Linked DNA regions of Struthio camelus. The protein of the gene in region 2 interacts with the protein of the main gene of each other region in a pairwise test. Links are inferred from orthologs where the notes say so. Each region holds a gene or a part of one and is shown on either strand. Other genes may lie near its edges. The genes, in order: ERH and POLDIP3.

What was found.
Region 1: the proteins of POLDIP3 (region 2) and ERH interact in a two-hybrid assay, tested with the Homo sapiens proteins (2 studies listed by BioGRID, with this or other methods). The link is inferred for Struthio camelus from reciprocal best matches to the Homo sapiens genes POLDIP3 and ERH.

Annotation. Positions count from the first base shown.
Region 1 is NC_090946.1:45,491,171-45,500,312, reverse strand, and holds the start of ERH (enhancer of rudimentary homolog), read right to left. Parts: upstream 4,240-9,142; 5' UTR 4,045-4,239; coding exon 4,042-4,044; intron 258-4,041; coding exon 170-257; intron 1-169. Other genes in the region: SLC39A9 (zinc transporter ZIP9), read left to right, coding at 4,421-4,524, 4,904-5,021. UniProt on the Homo sapiens protein: May have a role in the cell cycle.
Region 2 is NC_090942.1:56,143,667-56,153,059, reverse strand, and holds the start of POLDIP3 (polymerase delta-interacting protein 3), read right to left. Parts: upstream 4,252-9,393; 5' UTR 4,179-4,251; coding exon 4,057-4,178; intron 2,023-4,056; exon of another isoform or gene 1,913-2,022; coding exon of another isoform or gene 1,893-1,912; intron 1,276-1,892; coding exon 879-1,275; intron 1-878. UniProt on the Homo sapiens protein: Is involved in regulation of translation. Is preferentially associated with CBC-bound spliced mRNA-protein complexes during the pioneer round of mRNA translation. Contributes to enhanced translational efficiency of spliced over nonspliced mRNAs.

The DNA.
Region 1 (9,142 bases), on a different chromosome or scaffold from region 2:
GCGTGCAAGAACACTAGTAAACTGAAAGAATGAGACATTTTTGCAGTTTTTGTGACTTCTCTTGGGAATAGCAACTTGTTCACTTAACAAGCAAGCTTTGGGAATATGTCAAAAAAAGATTTTAACAACAATTGCCCATTATCATGACTGCAGAAGCAATGATACCCACCTTCCATGCACTCATTCACTGATTCATAATCAGCATATGTTCTGCCTTCTGGCCTCTTGGTGGGCTGAACAAGTAGAATTGTGTGAGACTGGGCGGGGGGGGAAAAAAGCCATGAGTTACTTCCAAAATTATTAATATTTGAATGAAGCATGCAAAGATTAAGCTACAGGGATTTTTGGCCACCAAATCATTAGACAAACTGGGTTGCACTAAATATATCTGTCCCCAGTGTTACTTCATGACACCTATCACACACAACTTCGGTGTGTAAGGATAAATCTGAGGACTAAGATGGTAAATTCTTAAAACTTACACAGCTATCACATACCTCTAAAAACAAGCACTGTATTATAACATGGATCTGGCAATTGAGGAGACAGTTTTTTCCAAATGGCACTTACTTTTCATATATGTTGTGTTAACAATTTTTGTTTCCAATCAGTTCTATCCATCCTTAAAATGTTTTCTAAATGGGTAAAATCACTAGTAAAGCACCTATTGTGTTGAAGAACCACCACAGAAATAGTATTTTCTACTTAAACAGAAAAGCAAAGCAATAACAGTCAATCTATAATAGCTGTCCAATTAGCACATTCGCTTATTTCATTTTAAATGCAGACTGTTAGTATGATTTAAATACCCCAAGCAGAGATCAAAAGCGAGTCTAACTTAACTTTACCATCAGTCTCAGCTCAAATATCCTAATGCAAAAAGTTATTTTGAGTTATTCATTCAATTTCAAGAGAACATAAATTATAAAGCTGTATTTAGTGTTCAAGACTATTTCTTGAAAACAGATGCACTGATTCTTAATACCTCAGTGAGTCTACTGAACAGTAATTATGACACAGATAACTGTTCCAAATGTCAGAGCCTGTAAATTTGCTTTTCTGCAGGAAAGACTTAGGGTGTTGTACATTGTGTGGCTTACATTACTTCTGTAATATTTTTCACTAGAGTACAGAAATGTGAACAAACAACAGGTAAGATTTTTGAAGTATACATGTCCCTGACCTAATTAAGAGTTATAGATCACAGAAATTTTGTAAGCACGTTAGACAACACCATTCCATTAGTGTCAACTGAATCCAACATTTTCAATGCTAATAAGTGAGGTGAGCACACAGCACATAACATTCACGCTGGCAACTGCAGAGTAAGCCACACTGGAAATATAATTACTAAAACATATTGTTGGGTTTAAATTAATTAACTGCTGAGAGAAAACTCCTGACCCATGATTTGGACAGGACAGTTAAGATTCCAGTTCAGTACTCAGATGCAGAAAAATGGCAAAAAAGTTATTAGGATTTGCAAAGAACATATAGGAAGGCAGTAAAGATTTCTACACCACGATTGATAGTATTCCCATGCTGGGAATTAGTTTTCAGTTCTTGAAATGCTGTCTCAAATATCATGATAGAAAGAGATGGAAAGGAGACCAGAAAAAAGTGACACAAAGGAACAGAAAAGATCAAGACTTTTCCCCAATTAGAAACAGAACAAAAGGAGAATTCAGAGCTATGCACTAGAATAAAAATCATGCAAAGACAACTAGACCAGCTAAGTCCACTTTCATGTAGGTCACAGGACACTTAATTTGAATGGAATTCCTCAAGGGGGGGGGGGGGGCTGGTATCTGGCGGTTCCAAAGCCTGCTGTACTTAACAGGCTTGTCGTACTAGGGAGTCTAAATCATTCTGCCAAACTTTGATCAAGTTCTATTACCAGCAATATCGCATTTGTTTGCTGATCACTGGTGACAAGGCTTGGTTCTAAGACTTGTAACTTTAACTTCTTGGGAGCATCTGAGCACTAAGGATTCTCTATTAACAGTAATAAAGGAAGTGCTTCAGGCAGCTTAGGAAACTTGCTCTAAAACAGTTGTACTATTTTAGCATCAGAATGTCTTGCAAACTAAACTTATGAGATGTTTGATTCAGGTAGAGTTATACATATTTATCTTTTTCAACCAGGCTCAAAATTAAAGAACAGGTTGGGATTATTTCACAAAACCTAAAAGAGCACAGATAAAAGAGAACTGATTAACATTAAAAAATGATATAATAACTGACTGAATTATGTATTCTGTCTCTTGGTGGAGAACAATTGTAGGCTGTCTGGTGTATAAATACCCAGGCTATCCCTCCTATTCTTTAAACGTTAAACCATCGTGCATGTATGTTCTAACGTTATCCCAATAATGAGATTGCCAGGCATCTAAGTCTCTGATTTTAAGTGATTCATCACTTAAGACATTTTTCAATATCCATATCAGACACTGGCCTGGGGAATTATTATTCATGCTCTAAAAAGGCATATCTTTCAGCTTTTCTAAGTGCAAAACAGCAATACATAATGAAGACTAGTTTCTGCAAGCCACTAATAATAATTCTACTACACCCATCAAGAAATGAGCCTAAATTATTGCCAGTATTTTTTGATCCTGTTACTACTGACTTTTGTTTCTTCCTCTACTAGCTATTAATTTCTCATCTTCCCCTAAACTAGCTATTAATTTCTCATCTTCCCCTAAAAACCTTAAGGAGGAAAAGGATAAAAAAAATCAAAATATATATCTCAAATTTAAGAACTTCCCACATTTTTACTCTAAAGAAAAAAAACTTTTTGAATGATTTTATGAAATTGCTCCTCCTCTCCCTCCACAGGAGGGCCAAAGAATGACAAACTTAGAAGTACAAGAGAAGTTTCCTCAAACTATTAGCTGCCCTACTGAATACATGCTTAGGCGACAGAGGCCAAATCCAAGTTTCCTATGGGTATAAATCCTGTTGTTAGGAAAAAGAAAAGTGGTGGTGGATGATGCAGAAACCCTTGTTTAATCAGACTAGGTTATCAGGAACAGCCCAATAAGAACTCTTACTGTCCTGTTGCAGACTGTGGGTTTTCTTGTGCTTTCCTTTAAAGTGTAATCGAACTGTCTGCTGTTCAAGGAGACAGCAGAGTAGATACCACACTGGTTTACGTTATATGAATTTTAAACGTCTTGAGAGCTCTTCGGAACGTGCTTTAAGCACATTATTGAAGACATAACCCTGAAAAAACACTTAAGGCAGCACTGACAGGCAAAAACAGGGCATAGGAGTTAGTCAACATCTGTCCAAAGGCGCTTCTCGCAACTGTCGGGGCTATTCAACAATAAGGCAAAAAATGGAAAGGGAAGAGATGCAAACAGTGTGAAGGACAAATAAACAGGCATAGTAAAGTAAAGACAGGCAATATGCCACAAGCGCTCAAAGGACTTTCGGGTATTCCTGCTGGCCAGAAATAGCGGTTTAAGTGGCTTCCATCTTTTCACTTTCGACAACAGGACAGGGCTTGTAGCTGCTTGTCCTAGCAGGAACTAACTACCTGCCCAAGCGCTACACAGGCGGCCACAAGACTTTTGCCCTAAACCCCACAGCGCTTTTTCCACCAAAGCGCAACGTCTTGCTTGAGCAAAACCCACGTTTACTACATGAATGCGACAAGCTGCTACGACCAGCGGGCCGGTCCCGCAGCCCGCCAGCACGAGCTGCCCCCCCACCCCCCGCTCCGCTCCGCCGCGCCGAGCGGCAGCGGGGCGGCAGCAGCAGCAGCTCAGGCCCCCGAGGCCGCCGCCGCCCCGCCCGCCTGGGCCGAGCGGCGCTTCCCCAAGGGCCGCGGCCCGCCCGCCCTTTGTGCGCGCCGCAGCCGCGGCCCGCGCCCGCCCCGGGGCCCGCCGCGAGCACGTGCTGCCACCCGCCCGCCCCCGCCGCGGCCTGCCCGCCGCTGCCAGCCCGGGAGGGCCCGCGCCGCCGCCCCCAGGCCGGGAGGTAGCGGGGAAGGGGGGTGGGGGGGGGTGGCGGCGCGGCCGACCGGGGCCCGCTCACCATAGCGGCTCCCGCTCCGCAGCTCCGCCGCCGACTAAGAGGCGCCCGACAATTCCCCCACAAGCCCCCGCGCCGGCCGGAAACGCCTCGCTAACGGCCGACCATAGACGACGAGGTGCTAGACTGCCGCGCACGCGCACGGCGCGCGAGAGCGCGCTGCCACACGGCAGGGCGCGGAGCATGCCGGGAACGACCGCCCACGCCATGCTGGGCGGGAAGTGGGGGGGAGGGGGGGGGCTTGTGGGAATAGCTGAGGGAGAGCTACGCCGCGCCGCCATCTTTGGTGAGGGAGCCGCGCGCTTTCCCGCCTCGGCTCGCGCGGGCGGCAGGGCGGCCGCTGCCTCGCCCGCCATCTTGAAGGCGGGAAGCGCGCGGGGTGATGCGACGGGTGCGCCCCGGAAGAGGAAGTGCTGTGTCGTGGAGGTGGCAGTTGGCCTCCGAGGTGGCGGCGGGGTCTGGTGGGCGCAGGGAGCCCGCGGACTGGTGCGGCCTCCGGTTCCCTCCCGGCCCGGCCCTTCCCCTTCCCTTCCCCGCGGCCCCGGCCCGCTGTGCCGAGCAGCGTCAGGGCCCGGCGGTCCCCCCACCCCGGGGCGCAGGGCAGGGTCCAGCCGCCTCAGGGGAGGGCTGCGCCCGCCCCGGCCCGGGCTGGGCCGCCCCTTCTCCCCGGCCGTCGTCGGCCGCGGCGGGCAGAGCCGGGGCTGCTGCACCCCTGGCCCGGAGGGGGCCGCTGCTGGGGGCTGAGCCGACCGGCGCCGCCGGGCAGGACAGACATGGCTGAAGGCCTTTCCTGGGACCTCGGTGTCTGCACGGGTTAAGGCGTGCGGGGCGAGGTGGAAAAGTTGCTGTTGAATTTCACTTTAAGGGACTGGACAGAAAGCAGCGAAATGGATGATTTCCACTCCATCTGCCTGCTGTCTCTGGCCATGCTGGTTGCCTGTTATGTGGCAGGGATTATCCCTCTGGCAGTTAATTTTTCAGAGGTAAGACAGCTTCACCAAACTACTCGTTGGTTGCTACGGAAGAATAGCAGGAATTAGATGCAAAATCTACCACGAGGTATCAATGCTGTCCCGTTTCAACTGTGGCTATGCTTTTGTAGGTGCTCTTCTAACTTAAAAAAGATTTCTAAGGAAAACACGAGTGGATGTTAACCTTCACTGAAAATCACAGCATGAAATAATGTTTATTCAAAATCGAATGTAAAATTACTTAAATGTATCAAAATTTATGCAGGTCTCTCCGCTGCAGGTACAGGGAAGCCTCAGCATATGGTTGAAGAACAGGAGAGTAGCTGGGCATTGTTATTCTTGTAAGGAGTTTGTGTCGGAAGCTTCTGAAGTCAGACTAACTTTTGTTACGTGTCCGTGGACTGTTTGAGTCAGGGCTTCTAAACCAGTTCTGAAAATGTTCTCAGAAAATTGGTTTTGGTTAACTGTTTTGCTCATACTTAATATGAGGTAATATCTAGCTCTTTGATGATTACAAGAAAAATTTCAAGTCATTTTAATATTATTGACAACTCAAAGTATTCTTTTTGAAAAATATCTAGGATAAAAAAGATATTGTTAAAAGAGAAGGAGGCTGTTGTTACAGTCTCTGGAAGTCTCATAATATTCTCTGAGGCCTGTCGGCTTTTATTTTTTTGAAATGTTGATTGTTGCAATAAGGTGTAGTGTAGTGAAAGTTCAGTCATTATGAAGTGGTAAGAGCCTGGTTTCTCATTTCTACTGGATACAGTGCTGTTCTTGGAAAGGGAGGTGATGGAAAAGAAATGTTACCTGTTTCCCCATCACATCAGACCTCGAACTTATCCTTTAGTCTCATGATAACTAGTGCGGTGGAGGCTTTGGGGAGCAGTAGATTGTGAACAGCGTGGGAAGAAGTGTAGTTCTTTTCATTACAGCAAAATTCAACTGAATGATTTGAAACATGAGAATATATCCTGAGATCTTTACATAAAAATTAGGTTGACTGCATTAGCAGTGCTTCATCTAATGCTTTGATGGACCTTCTCTTAAACGTCATCAAGGCTGTTGCTACCTTCTTCTCCCTTTTTAAAACTCACTTTTACTCTGAAGCCTAGAAAGGACTTTCTTGCAAATTTGCTGAGACCACTACCTAGCATGTTAAATATTGTCTCAAGTTTTTTTTTTTTTTTAAATTTCCTCAGGAGTGTGCTTGCAAGTCACCTATTGTCTCTTTATGTTTGGTTATAAGTTCTTTGGCGATGACGTTGAATTGTTTATACAGTTTATACATGTCTGTACAGTTGGATCAGGGGACTCCTAAATCGCTAGGGGCTTCTGACTGCTTTGGATAGAAATCTGTTATAAAAGTTTTGTAGAACCAAAAATGTAGTGCTCTGCATAAACAGTAATCAAATACTTACCAGCCTGCTGTTATGTTTGCAGTGTTTGTAAATGTGTGCACAGTTTGTAAAGTAAGTTTATTGTGGTATCTTAAACTCTCAGAATTTCTTGACTCAGTTTTGTACTCGACTTAAATAGTTTTTTAAAGCACTCATATGTTGTGTTCATTTAAAAGAGGAGCTGAACCTCTTTGCAGATGTTTTTTGTGCAAATACTACCTAATCCTGGAAGTATCTAATTAAAAGTTAGAATTGTTTAAATAATTGACTGAGCATTTGCAGCATGGAACGTTTTAAACTAAGATGAACTATTTGGACTACACGTTCTCTGGTTTGCAAAACATTTTATAGCCTCAATGAGGAAAAAATGCCTTGTAAGGGTCGAAATAGGAAATAAAAATGAATGCTTTACATGATACACCCCGGATGCTGGAGAAAAAATTATTTGCTAATGTTAATGCATTTCTTCAGAAGACTTTTTTTGCTGTGGAACCTATTCTTTATGTTATTATTTCTGTCTTGTTTTCTGTCCTTTGAGTTAGATTTGAATTTTCTTAAAAGTATGAAACTCCAGCACAGCCAGGGAGAATGAAATATCTGTGGTAAAAAGCTAGACTGGGCAGAGCTTCACTTTGTTTGTTTATGCGGATATGAACCCATTTAGCTTAGTCCTGATTTGTAGTATAGCCTAACACTCTATTAGGCTAGGCTTGGGCCAGAAACCAGACTGTGCCTTTTCTTGAGGCTATCTCTTAAGTTGTAGCTCAAAAGCCAAAAAAAAAAAAATCAAGTTCTGGAAGTTTGGATCCTTTGAGTGTCTAACACAGTGTTGACTGAAGTGGGACTGTTTGCTACTGAAAGTAGGTGAAAGTTTTTGCTGGTTGTTGTCAGAGTTTCAATGCTACACAGATTTAAAGCAAGAAACTGACATCACTCTTGGAGAAACGCTGAGCTGTGGAACAGCTTGCTAATTTGGGAGTTTGGGGGTTTTTTTTGGAACAGAAATTTAAGATGTTTTCCTGTGAGGTTTTAACACAACTTACTCTGTTGTTGTTTTTCATGAGACTCATAAGTGTTTTGGTGACTAAATGGTTTGTTTTTAAAAGATGCAGCTTCTTGGACAAAACTAGAAGACTTTCACCCATCTGGGCGGACTGCAATTATTAGATGTCTGTATTAATCATCTAGAAGCATGGTGTTTTTTCTTGAAATAGTAATTTGTTAACGTGTGTTGTTTTCATGCATTTTTAAAAATCGCAGATGTCCAAATTAATGCACGCAGTACTCTGTATTTGCAGTCATAATAAAACAATATTACTTGTGACATTTTGTTTTTGGCTGTGTGTGTGTGTGTGTGCATATATATTATGTAAAATGAGAGATTATAGTGTTGCAGTATAAACATCATCTTATTGAGCTTTTGAGAGGTCATATTTTGGCAAAACTACTTTAAAAACAGTCAGTGTGGAAGATCAGCTATTTATATAGATTCCCACTGTATAACAACCTATCAAGTGTATTTGTCATGTGACTGTACAGTGTGTGTTGGTGGAAACTTTACAAGTATTTTCATCTCCTGCATATTACCCCTTGAATTTTCCCCAGTAAAGCTGTAAACATTTCATTATGGTCATGTCTGGCATGCATTTAGAAAGCTAGTTGTAAGTCCCTCCAGAGCCTGTGTTTCTTCTATACGAGGCTCATCTATTTCGTTGAGATTTATTGAACTTGCATCATTACAATGCATGAGGAGAAGCAGGGGGAGCATAATAAGGATATGCTATGAGCGGTTTCTTGTTACTCCAACACTGCACTCCATCTCCAGGTCCTCAGTAGTTAACTCTGGTATTTGGGCAGTGCGCAGACATCTGATTGTGCATTCAAGATGATGATGGTTCTGCCACAAAGTACGTGATACACAGTTGACATCAAGATCTGAACATCACTAGTTACTATGTGTGTTGTGCTAATGGCTATTACAGAAATGATCCTCTGGATAGGAGAGAAACTTGTCATATGAAGCAAGTTGATGTATTTTAGGTACCATTAGATGTTAATGTTACGGCATTTTCAGTGCATGACTTTGACTTTAGCCTGTCAGTGTTCTAGTCACAAGCAAACAAAAGTTAATAGTAAATTGTTCTTTCTTAGGAAAAATAAAATTTAGTCAAGAGGTACTGCAGTCGAGGGAGTACTGATCTCTTTCTAGGCTTTTTGTCCAGAGTTAGACAAAATCTTAGAATCTTTCTAGAAAGGCGGTCCTTACTATTAGTAGCAACTGCTTACAAAATCCTTACCTACTTTTGTTGTTGTTTAAGCTTGTTGCGGAAACTTGATTTTCCTGGAATATTTCTAGATTACACTGTAAAAATACTAGGTTTACATAATATTCTTTAAGTTTTAATTACCAATTTGCAATGCTTAGATTTTACAGTAGATTTCAGTTTTAGCTATGTTTGCAGAGCGGAAAAGGGAGTGCCATGATCTGTAACTACCTAGAGTGGAATATCTGTTTGTATTGCCCTAAAATGTGATAAAGAAGCTCTTTAAATGATTTATATAATTCTGATTTTGAACCTATTTTTGGGACTCAGTCCTGTCTGTCATATTTTGTAGCTACCCGTCATTTTGAAAATATTATGGTGCATATTGCAGTTCTACACATTCAGTGGGCAACTTACGCATCTGACTGTTTTTGAATACATGGAGCACATTATCAGAACTTTCAAGTTA
Region 2 (9,393 bases):
TTCTGGGTATGTACAAACATATTGTTAAATCTTTGGGAAGAAGAAGTGAAAGCAGTAGGTTAGGAACTAGTTACATGCTTGTCACATACTCGAAGAGGTGAGGAACAAAGCCACTCCTCAAAAAACAATCCCGACAATCTGAAAACTTCTCTTCTAGCTCTACTCTCTGTACCTAACGCGCACACACACTCAGTAGCAGTTGTTACTCGAGAAGTCAGCTAAGAGTCAAGTCACTGTGCACACAACAGCATGAAATTTGAAAACTGATGAAGAAAATCAGCAGGTCAGGATAATCAACTGATGATATTGAAACCAGAATAAAGCTTGAGCCTCAGGAGGAACGGGTCAAATAATCAGGCAATTCCCTGAAAAGGGGGAGGGTATAAACACAGAAGTTGTATTAAAAAGAAAAGCTTTAGATCTGCTACAAGATACCAATAGTTGCATATTCTAAACTGGAAATAAACCAGTTATCTAGACAGGACAATCCAAAACACACTCATGCAATGGTATTAGAATGACAAAAATCCCCCCAAAACAACAAAAGCATTTCCTTAGGTTTTAGCTGGGAGAAAGAAAGATTTTACGTTTAACACTTTCAGATAATTACTTTAGCACTGAGAACATTATGCTGCTTTAGTCATTTATCGGGCCCAAAGTTCTTTTCTTTAAACGAAAGCTTGGCTTCTACAAAAAAGCCTCAAAGAGCTGAAGGACGCTGAAAATCGAGGACTCTAAACCTTGCCCTACAGACTAGGTTCAACCGCATCTCCATGGCTTCTATTGCAATCTTGTGACACATTCATTGTAAGTATTATCACTTCCACTGGACTGCAGTAGAATAACTAAGGGGCTTAGAGGTGGCTTGCTTGACCTACTTGGATAGTTTTGGTGATTTTCATGGCTGGATTTACTGTCCCCATAGCTGGGCTGATAGCAGCAGCAGCAGCAGGAGTGCTCCTTTTTAAGCTTATCTTCTCTCTGGCATCCACCACTTTGGTCACCTTTTCAGCAGCAATACTTTGCTGCTTACGGGAATTCAGCATCTCTCGAGCATCCTGCACTTTCCCTTTGATTTTGAAACGAGCGTCCTTCTGAACCAGTTTTTCACGGGCATCCTTAACTCCCAGTTTGTGTCGGGCATCAGTGAGGCCAATCTTCTGCCGGGCATCAAATGTCCGCTGGAAGCTGACAGCTGGTGAGGATCTACTGAGAAGATTTTGCTGGATCCCAATGCGAGATCTTACACCTCCAAACACTGGCCTTGTGTTAAGCCTAGAAAGAGAGTTTCAGACGTTGTAAGAAAAGATTTAATATCAGTAAAAGTATCTGAAGTCACTATTACTACACACAACCCTATCCAGGTTAGACGTCCAAAAAACAGTAGAGAACCTAAGCTGTTTTACATTAGCTATTTACTTACAAAGTAAAATATAAAGAACTGATTTCTAAAATTGGTCCTTAAGGTCATATTTATGAGCCCAAGGCTTGACTTGAGCTGTGCTAAATCCATCCCACACCCAAATGAAATTTATCAAGAACTTAGGTACTTCAGGGAGCCCTCTGAACACAAAGAGAAACAGAAACAGATGATCCAGGTTTAGGATTGACCAGGTCCTCTAAAACATCTTTTGTAACACAATATGTCCTGGTACAAAGAAAACATGAAACTACATGTGATTTCGAAGAATTCTGGACAACAAGTTCAGATTTTCAGAAGTGCGGGAGGCTTTGATTTTAGGCTGCACAAGCACCAGTACAAATCTCAGCTGAAGGCCACCAACTCCAAAACCGATTAACTGCCAGCACAGTTACATGCTAGTCAAATCACTTGCTAACATCACTGCTTCTCACCTAATCCACAACTACCACTGCTGCACTCGCTGGCTTACCTTTTAAAGCACATCACCATTGCAATACTCAGTACAGAAGGATAACAGTCAGAGAACGTCAGTCTCAGACCGAGAATGGCGTTTGTACTTGTACACAGATCACAGAGTAGCCGGGGTTGGCAGGGAGCTCCGGTGAGAATCTGGTCTAACCACCCTACTCAAGCAGGGTCACCTAGAGCAGGTTGTCCAGGACTGTGCTCTGCTGGGATTTGAATACCTCCAAGGATGGAGACTCCACAACCTCTCTAGGCAACCTGTTCCAGTGTTCAATCACCCTCACGGTAAAGAGTTTTTCTTACATTCAGATGGAGATGTTATTAAGAAGTAGCCTATTCTGTAGTGAAAGCTGAAGCTAGCTTCTCATTACAGATTTGATTTACTTTTTTCAAAGCTTCCCCTAAAAGGAATAAGCTGAATTGTCTGCATTTTTAATACACCTTCTCTTCCTAGTATTTTTAAGTTTTGGATTTTTTCATTGGGTTTTCTTTTTGGAAGAAGATGACAAAGTTGCAGGAGAAATTTTAAAGTTAAGGTCCTGAAAAACATTCTCACCATTGGCTTTTTTATTCAAAAAAAAAAAAGCTAGAGCACTACAGTGTTTATATGCTTTGTTAAAAGTACTGCACAGTATTATAAAACCTAGATATTTTATTGAATTTTAGAATTTGTTGTAACACTTAAAAGACTAACATCACAAATTCAAACACCACCACAAGTCAACTTCTCCATATAGCTTTGTATCAGTACTTCCTGATTTATCTAACACTACAGTTTTAGCATTCTACTTACAGTCATGTATTTACAGTGAAGAGGTCTGTGGAAAAATAGTGGAAAAGAGATGGAAAAGACTTTGCATCATCCTCTGTGTCTGGATGCAGCAAGAATGAAAGACAAATGGAAAAGTAGGCCTGGAGTCCCATTTTGTCAGCTAGCTAAAAATCCTATGGCTGATCTCATTCAGACAGAGCATGCCAATTAAGAGACAAAAATATTAAGTCCATTTGTTAAAATATATCCAAAAGTATATGAAAGAGGAACAGTACTTGCAAAGCAATAGCCACAAAACAAAAGCTTCCCTTGTAATTTTAAGGCCTGTTATCTTAAAATGCTGCAAGCATTTGGTTAGAGTGCTGTAGAAAGATTGATGAGTGATTCCTTTTAATAAGCATAAAAGAGAAGTCAAAGTAAACCAGGAATATACATACTAGCATTTAAGCCAGACTTAATTAGAACAGTTAGGATGCCTATCAATGAAATCAGTTAGGAAACTGTACAGAAGATTACACCGCCTCTGAAGAAGAGTTTATCTTCATAAAGAATTTTTTTTTTTGCTTATCTTAAAACAAACAACACAAACTGCTTTAGGCATTATGTGCCCATTTTGTGCCACGATACCTGAAACACAAGGGAATCTCAAACATCATAATTCCATAAAATTCACTTTCCGTTACTGCAAGTTCTAACTGACTTATCCATGGCACATTATAAGAGCTTGTGTGTTAGCACATTTTATAGCTGAATACTTTCCTGTTACCATTTCCCTTGGACTACTAAAGAGCATGTATGCAAAGATAAAAGTCTATTTGGCTTGTCCGGCATTCAGAAAGGCACGTTAGCTACCTCAGAAATCTTATAATATGAGCTAAAGATGCCAAACAAGAGAAACACAAGGCAGAAACATTCTAATAGTGCTGCTGAGAGATTATTGCTCAGCAGATAAAAGCTGGAAGGATTCCTGGAAGAAATGAGAGTTAAGGAGGGATTTGAAAAAGAGGAGGAGGTGGTGCTTGGCATATTAAGCAGTGCAAGACTGTTCCAAACACGCAGCATAACATGAATGAAAGCACAAAGCCAAGGCCTTGTCTAGGCTACGATTCAGAGGTGTGTTTGAATCTTTCAGTTACTACCTGTTAGCAGAGAACTTTCAAAATACTGTTCTAGACACGGAAGCGCTCATATTCACAGTTCAAGCCCAAGATTCCTCAGTGGCCAGAGAGCACCAAAACAGAGGCAAACTTGGCTAACGCAGAGCAGAGAAATCCGTGGACAGCATCGCGAAAAGCATCAAGAGACTAAAGCAAAGGGGAGGATGAAAAGCTATCACAGGGGACGCCGAACGAGAACCTGCCAACAGCTACACTAAGGAGCGAACGGCCATACGTACGGAGACGCCCGCCATACAAAGCCCGAGCCTAATCTCGTTGCTCCCATGTATCCCGCTCCACACGGTCCGCCAGGGCACGGCCAGCCGTGCCACAGAGGCGGCAGTTTCCAAGGGGCCGGCATCAACGCCGACGAAGCTGTGCCTGCGCTGTGCCCCGGCCGCCCACCGCAGCTACCCTCAGGGCGCCCCGTGGCGCTCCGACCCCTCCCGCGGCCGTCCCGCAATGCGCCGCGGCGCTCCTCAGCGGCCCCCGTCCGCCGGCCCCGGCGCCTCCTTCCCCCCCGGGCCCCGCAGCCCAGCGGCCGCTGCAGGCCCGAGGCGGCGCGACCCCCGCCTTGGGGAGCGCAAGCGGGTTCACGGGCGGAGAGGAGGTCGGAGGCACCGGAGGAAGGGCCGGCTGCGCCAGGAGCCTCGGCAGCGAGGGAAAGGGCTCGGTACGGGAAGGAGACCCCGCGCCGGGGGCAGCGCCGGGGGAGCGGCGACCCCCCCCCGCCCCGTCCCGTCGGTGAGCGACGGCCCGCCCCACCAATCAGTGCCCAAAACGACGCCCCACGGGCCGCCGCCTAAGCCAATGGAGAGGCGAGTGCACGGAAAGGGGCCGGGCCGCGCTGAGGCAGGCTGCGGCCCGCGGCCCCCGCCCCCCCAAAGCGGAAAGACTAGGGGGGAGGACGAAGGAGCCGCCGGGGGAAGCTCGGCCTCGGGCGCTGCCCTGCCGGCCACCTACCTCCCTTTCACGGTCACGCCGCGTTTCCGTATGAGCTCGTCCAGGGAGAGGTCCGCCATCTTGTCGCCGGGCCCAGAGATAAGACGCAGCGAGCGAGACCCGGACGTGACATCAAGCGGCTTCCGTTCCTCGCCCCGCCCACCAGAAGTAAGCGCGTGCCCCCTCCCCGCCCCCTCCGGGCTCCGCCTGAGTGCGCGACAGGGGCGGGGGAGAGAAGGGCGCGCGCGAGCCCGGCGGACCCAGAACCCCCAGCGGCGCCCCGGTCCCTCATTTACATACGGCCGCCCGCACGTCCCGTACCGGTCCGGTCCGCTGCCGCGTTTAAACGGCGCGGAGAGGGGCCCGCACCGGGCAGAAAGATCGGGGCGGCGGAGACACCGCTATCCCTCTGCGGGACGGCGCAGCGGTCTGGTCGCCGTGACCTGTGGAGCTGGCGCGCAGGGCTGCCACGGCGGGGCGGGGAGGGGAGCGTTATGCCTTAAACTTATGAGTAAGGAAAATAACGACCCGGGGTGACGCCCGGGTCCTCACTGCTAATGTGAGAGGAATTTTTGCGCGGGTACAGGTCGTCCCCGGGTGACCCGCTTACTTCGCGGGATGCCCGGGTGCCATGATCTGCCCGACCCTCCCGAGCTGCCCGTCCCAAAGAGAGAGGAGCCAGTGGGGCCTCAGCGGCCGTCATAGCCCCGCCCCGCCCCCGGGCCGCCACCAACGGTCTCTGCCGGGGCGGCGGCGGCACCTTGCCCGTCTCGGGCGGGGGGCGAGGCGAGCTGGGCTTCCCGCGACCCGCGGTTTCCTCCTTGAGCCGGCGAGAGCCGTTGGTGAACTTCACCCGTCAAACGTCATAAAGGATAACTCGATGAAACTTCTTAAAAACCAACCCAAGAAAACAGCCCCGTCTGCTTGATTTGTAATGCGGTCTTTCCGAGCTGGCCTCAAGGATTTCACAACAGTTAGAAGTACGTTGCCAAAATTGCTCTGACGCCTCCCGTTTCTCTAGGAAAAGATTTTATTTTAATGCTTTTGTGGGAGAAGTCGCTCGGTTTAAAAGCAGACTGCCCAGAAAAGGAATCCGTGGAAAGGAAGAGCCTTGTACGGACTCGGGCGACGTGGACTTCCTGCTGCTAAGTGGCCGCAGAGTTGTCCCCTGCTGTGCCCCGTGGCTCGCCAGCCTCCGTGGCGGTGGCCCGCAGGGAGACGGCTGCGGCTTTCCCTGTGGGGCCCTGGTGCTGCTGGGCCTCCCTCCCAGTGACCTGCTCGGGCACAACGCGGTGCTGTGAGCCCACAGCGAGGGGTTTCCGCCCTCCCTTAGAAGACAGGAGACCTCGGAGACGCAGAGGTCTCCACGCGGCAGCTCCCCGGCACGAGGGCGACCTCGTCCCCCCCACACCTTCGTCGTGTGCCTCCTGCGGTCTCCCCGCAGCGCCGCCCCGAGCTGCGGCGGCCCTGGTACGCACCTGACCCGGATCAAGGCTGGCACGTGACTGCGTTGCTATCAAACTAGCTACACGAGCATGAGTTTACGCCCTTCTCCTGCTTTTGTGCGGGCTTTTCTGCAGCAGATACTTGATCAAACTAATGTGGCGGATGATGTGTGACCAGCCATAAAGCCTGCTGTTGCAAAACTAATAGTCACCTTTTTTGAGCAAATTTGACTGAACATAAGAACAGTAGGGACCCAGGGTCTGTCTGCCCAGTATCCTATTTCCAGGCTGTGGGGAGGCAGCAGCATCAGGAAGGTGGGTTCCCCAGCCTGAGGCCCACTCTGGTGTGCTGCCCCTTGCAATTTCCCCAAATGTGAGAAACAGCTGCATCGTTTGTGGGAGAAGGGGGGGGGGGTACAAATCCAAACTAACCAAAACAGTGGCCATAAGAGGATGCCCAGGGAAGAGGAAGAAGAGGACAAGCCCATATGGTACTTCCCCTGAGTGTGCTACCAGCTACTCATGGTATTCTGATGATTTCCTGTGTTTCGGTAACCCCCAACGCAGGACTCTTCCAGATGCCTGTCCAGACTCGTCTTGACCCCCAGCAATATTTTTGCATCCACAGTATGCCTTGGCAAGGAGTGCGACAGGTCTGCTCCCTGCTGTGGGAAGAGCCACCTCCCCTTGTTTTGCATCCGGCTCCCACCAGCCTAGTTGCTGGAATTAAGGCAGGGAGCGCACGTGTGGCCTCTGCCCACCTTCTCGTCTGCTCATGAATTGTAGGCCAGGCCTACTCACCCGTTCCTCCTATCAAAGCCCTTTCAGACCACTGATTATTACTGTTGGCCTTCACTGACGCCGTTCCAGTTTCAGATGTAGGCAGATCACGCAGGTATATAATGGCATGTTTGGATGTTCTGTGTTTCGTTTCCTACTCCTTTCACAATGATTCCTAATCCTGGATTTTATTTTTTGACTACTGCTGATAATTTCACAGAATTCTCTATCAAATCCCCAGGGTCTTGCTGCTGAGTGATAGCGATCAGGTGACCGCCTGTCCTTTTGTATGTATAGTGAGGAGTGTTTTCCCCTCTCAGCATCACTTTATGTATAAATACACTGAATTTCCTCTGACTTTTTTTTTTTTTGTTGCCACTCAGTCACTCAGTGTGTAAGGTCTTTCTGCAACTCTTCACAGCTTTTCAACCTCCTCACTACGGTAAATAATTTCACATCATCAGCCAACTTTATAACCTCCTTGCTCTCTTTCCAAGGTCACTTACAGCCATGTTAAACAGCACAGATCCCAGCCAAGCTCCGTCACTGACCTCCCTCCATTTACCCTCACCGTCTGTTTCCTATTTTTTAGCCAATCATTCATTCATGATAGACCTCTCTTATCCTGCAGCTGCACAGTTTCCTTGAAGGACTTTGGTGAAGGGCTTTTTTCAAAACTTTTCAGCCATTCAGAGAGTTTAGATTATCTGAGTAGTACTCACCTGCTTGTTGACCCTTCATGACTCTTCCCAAGTAGGCCATATTTCTACGGAGCCCACTGATTCTCTCCTTTCTTTTCAGAGCCTACTCATCTGGTCAGTGCAGCCTCTGGGCTTGCAGCCCTGGAGGTCGCCAGGTCTCCCCTGGAGCCTTTATTGGAAGACTGGCATCACATTTAGATACCAAGGATGTTTTAAGTGGGAAGTTACACATTGCTGTTAAAAATTCAGCCATTTCCCACTGGAGCTCTTTTAAGCTGGTTGCACGTCTTAGCTTTTGGCTACAGAGCATATTAAAATGGGAACGTTGCAGCTTGCGCAACGTTTGGAATTATCATCCCAATTCCAGGTCTAATAACTCATCTAGGGTCTGCTGGCTGTACTGTCCTTATTACTTCTCTGGTACTCACAAACACATCAGTGTCCCCTTTTCTGCAATCATGAGGCTATGCCTTAAACTGATAAGCAGTGTGACAGCATTGCAGGTGATTCTTATTTTCTCACCAGTTTTGTCACACAGGCACCAGACAGGTCCCCAGAACAGAGAGGTACAGGTGTATTCAAGCCCCTGCAGGGCTCCTACATCTGCAGGATGCTGGCTCCTTCCTCCTCCTCCTCCTCCAAACCCGTGGAGGGAGTGGGAGGGAGGAAGGGCTGTTCCCAATACTGGTTCACACTAATCCCATGCAGGACTTGAGGCTGAACCTGGGACAGGGCTGCCTGGTTTCTCCTGCCTCCAGGGTGCTGGGAATGGGTTAGTCCCCAGGATCTCAGCTGAGGAAGGAAAATCCTTTAGCCTCACAAAAACGGAAGGAAAAAAAATATCACCCTATGTGTTCAAATGCTGGGTCAGGGCCCAGCTTTCTGAAATGGTCCTGTCCAGCCTGAGACTTGCGACCACCTGGGTGTTCAGAGCTGGTGCGCAGGAGTTGTCTGAGGGACAGTTTGGACACGTTGGCTCAGCACCACGGGCATTCCCCCGCCTCCCTTCCCTCTACAGGCACCTGCGTTTCCTGTGTTAGAGTCTCTGTGGGATGCTGGTTAGTGGGAATTAGTTTTGCTGTTTCATGAGAGTTTAAACCTCAGGCTCTCCCATTCCCTGGGTTTATGATTGTGTTACTCTGGCTGTCAGACAAGGGAAGCTGCGGCTCAGCTTTCACAGGTCTCTCCCGGTTGCTTGCTTAGGTGTTTGCTGAGGGAAGGGCCCAGGGTGCTGCTTCCCTTCTCGCGACTGAGGGGGAGGAAGGTGCAAGCAGCACCTGAGAGACGTCCCTGTGCCCTGGGAGAGCTCATGCTGCTTCTACCAGAGGACCGTTGTAAAAATGTGCTGGGTAATTTTCAGGCCTGCCCTGGAGCCTTTGAAAAAGCAGACTCCTTGAAGGCGTCTACCTGAGCAGCAGGCGGCTGAGAGCCAGGGTGCAGAAGTCAGAGCAGATGAGACCATCTCCCTGTCTCATCTCTAAGCTCCTTTTTCTAAATATTTGTTAGGAAATTATACGAAGGGCGTCACAATACCTTGGGGGTAGTGCGTGGCACAGCATCTCGGTTATGTTACCTGCACTGAATCTTACAGCAGCATATGAAGCAGCTAAAGGCACAGTGACGCGGCTGATAAATTGCCAGGGAGCAAGAGCAAATAATTTCTTAGTCCAGCTGAAGCGCATTCGTCACAGTGACCGTAGTGTTAGAT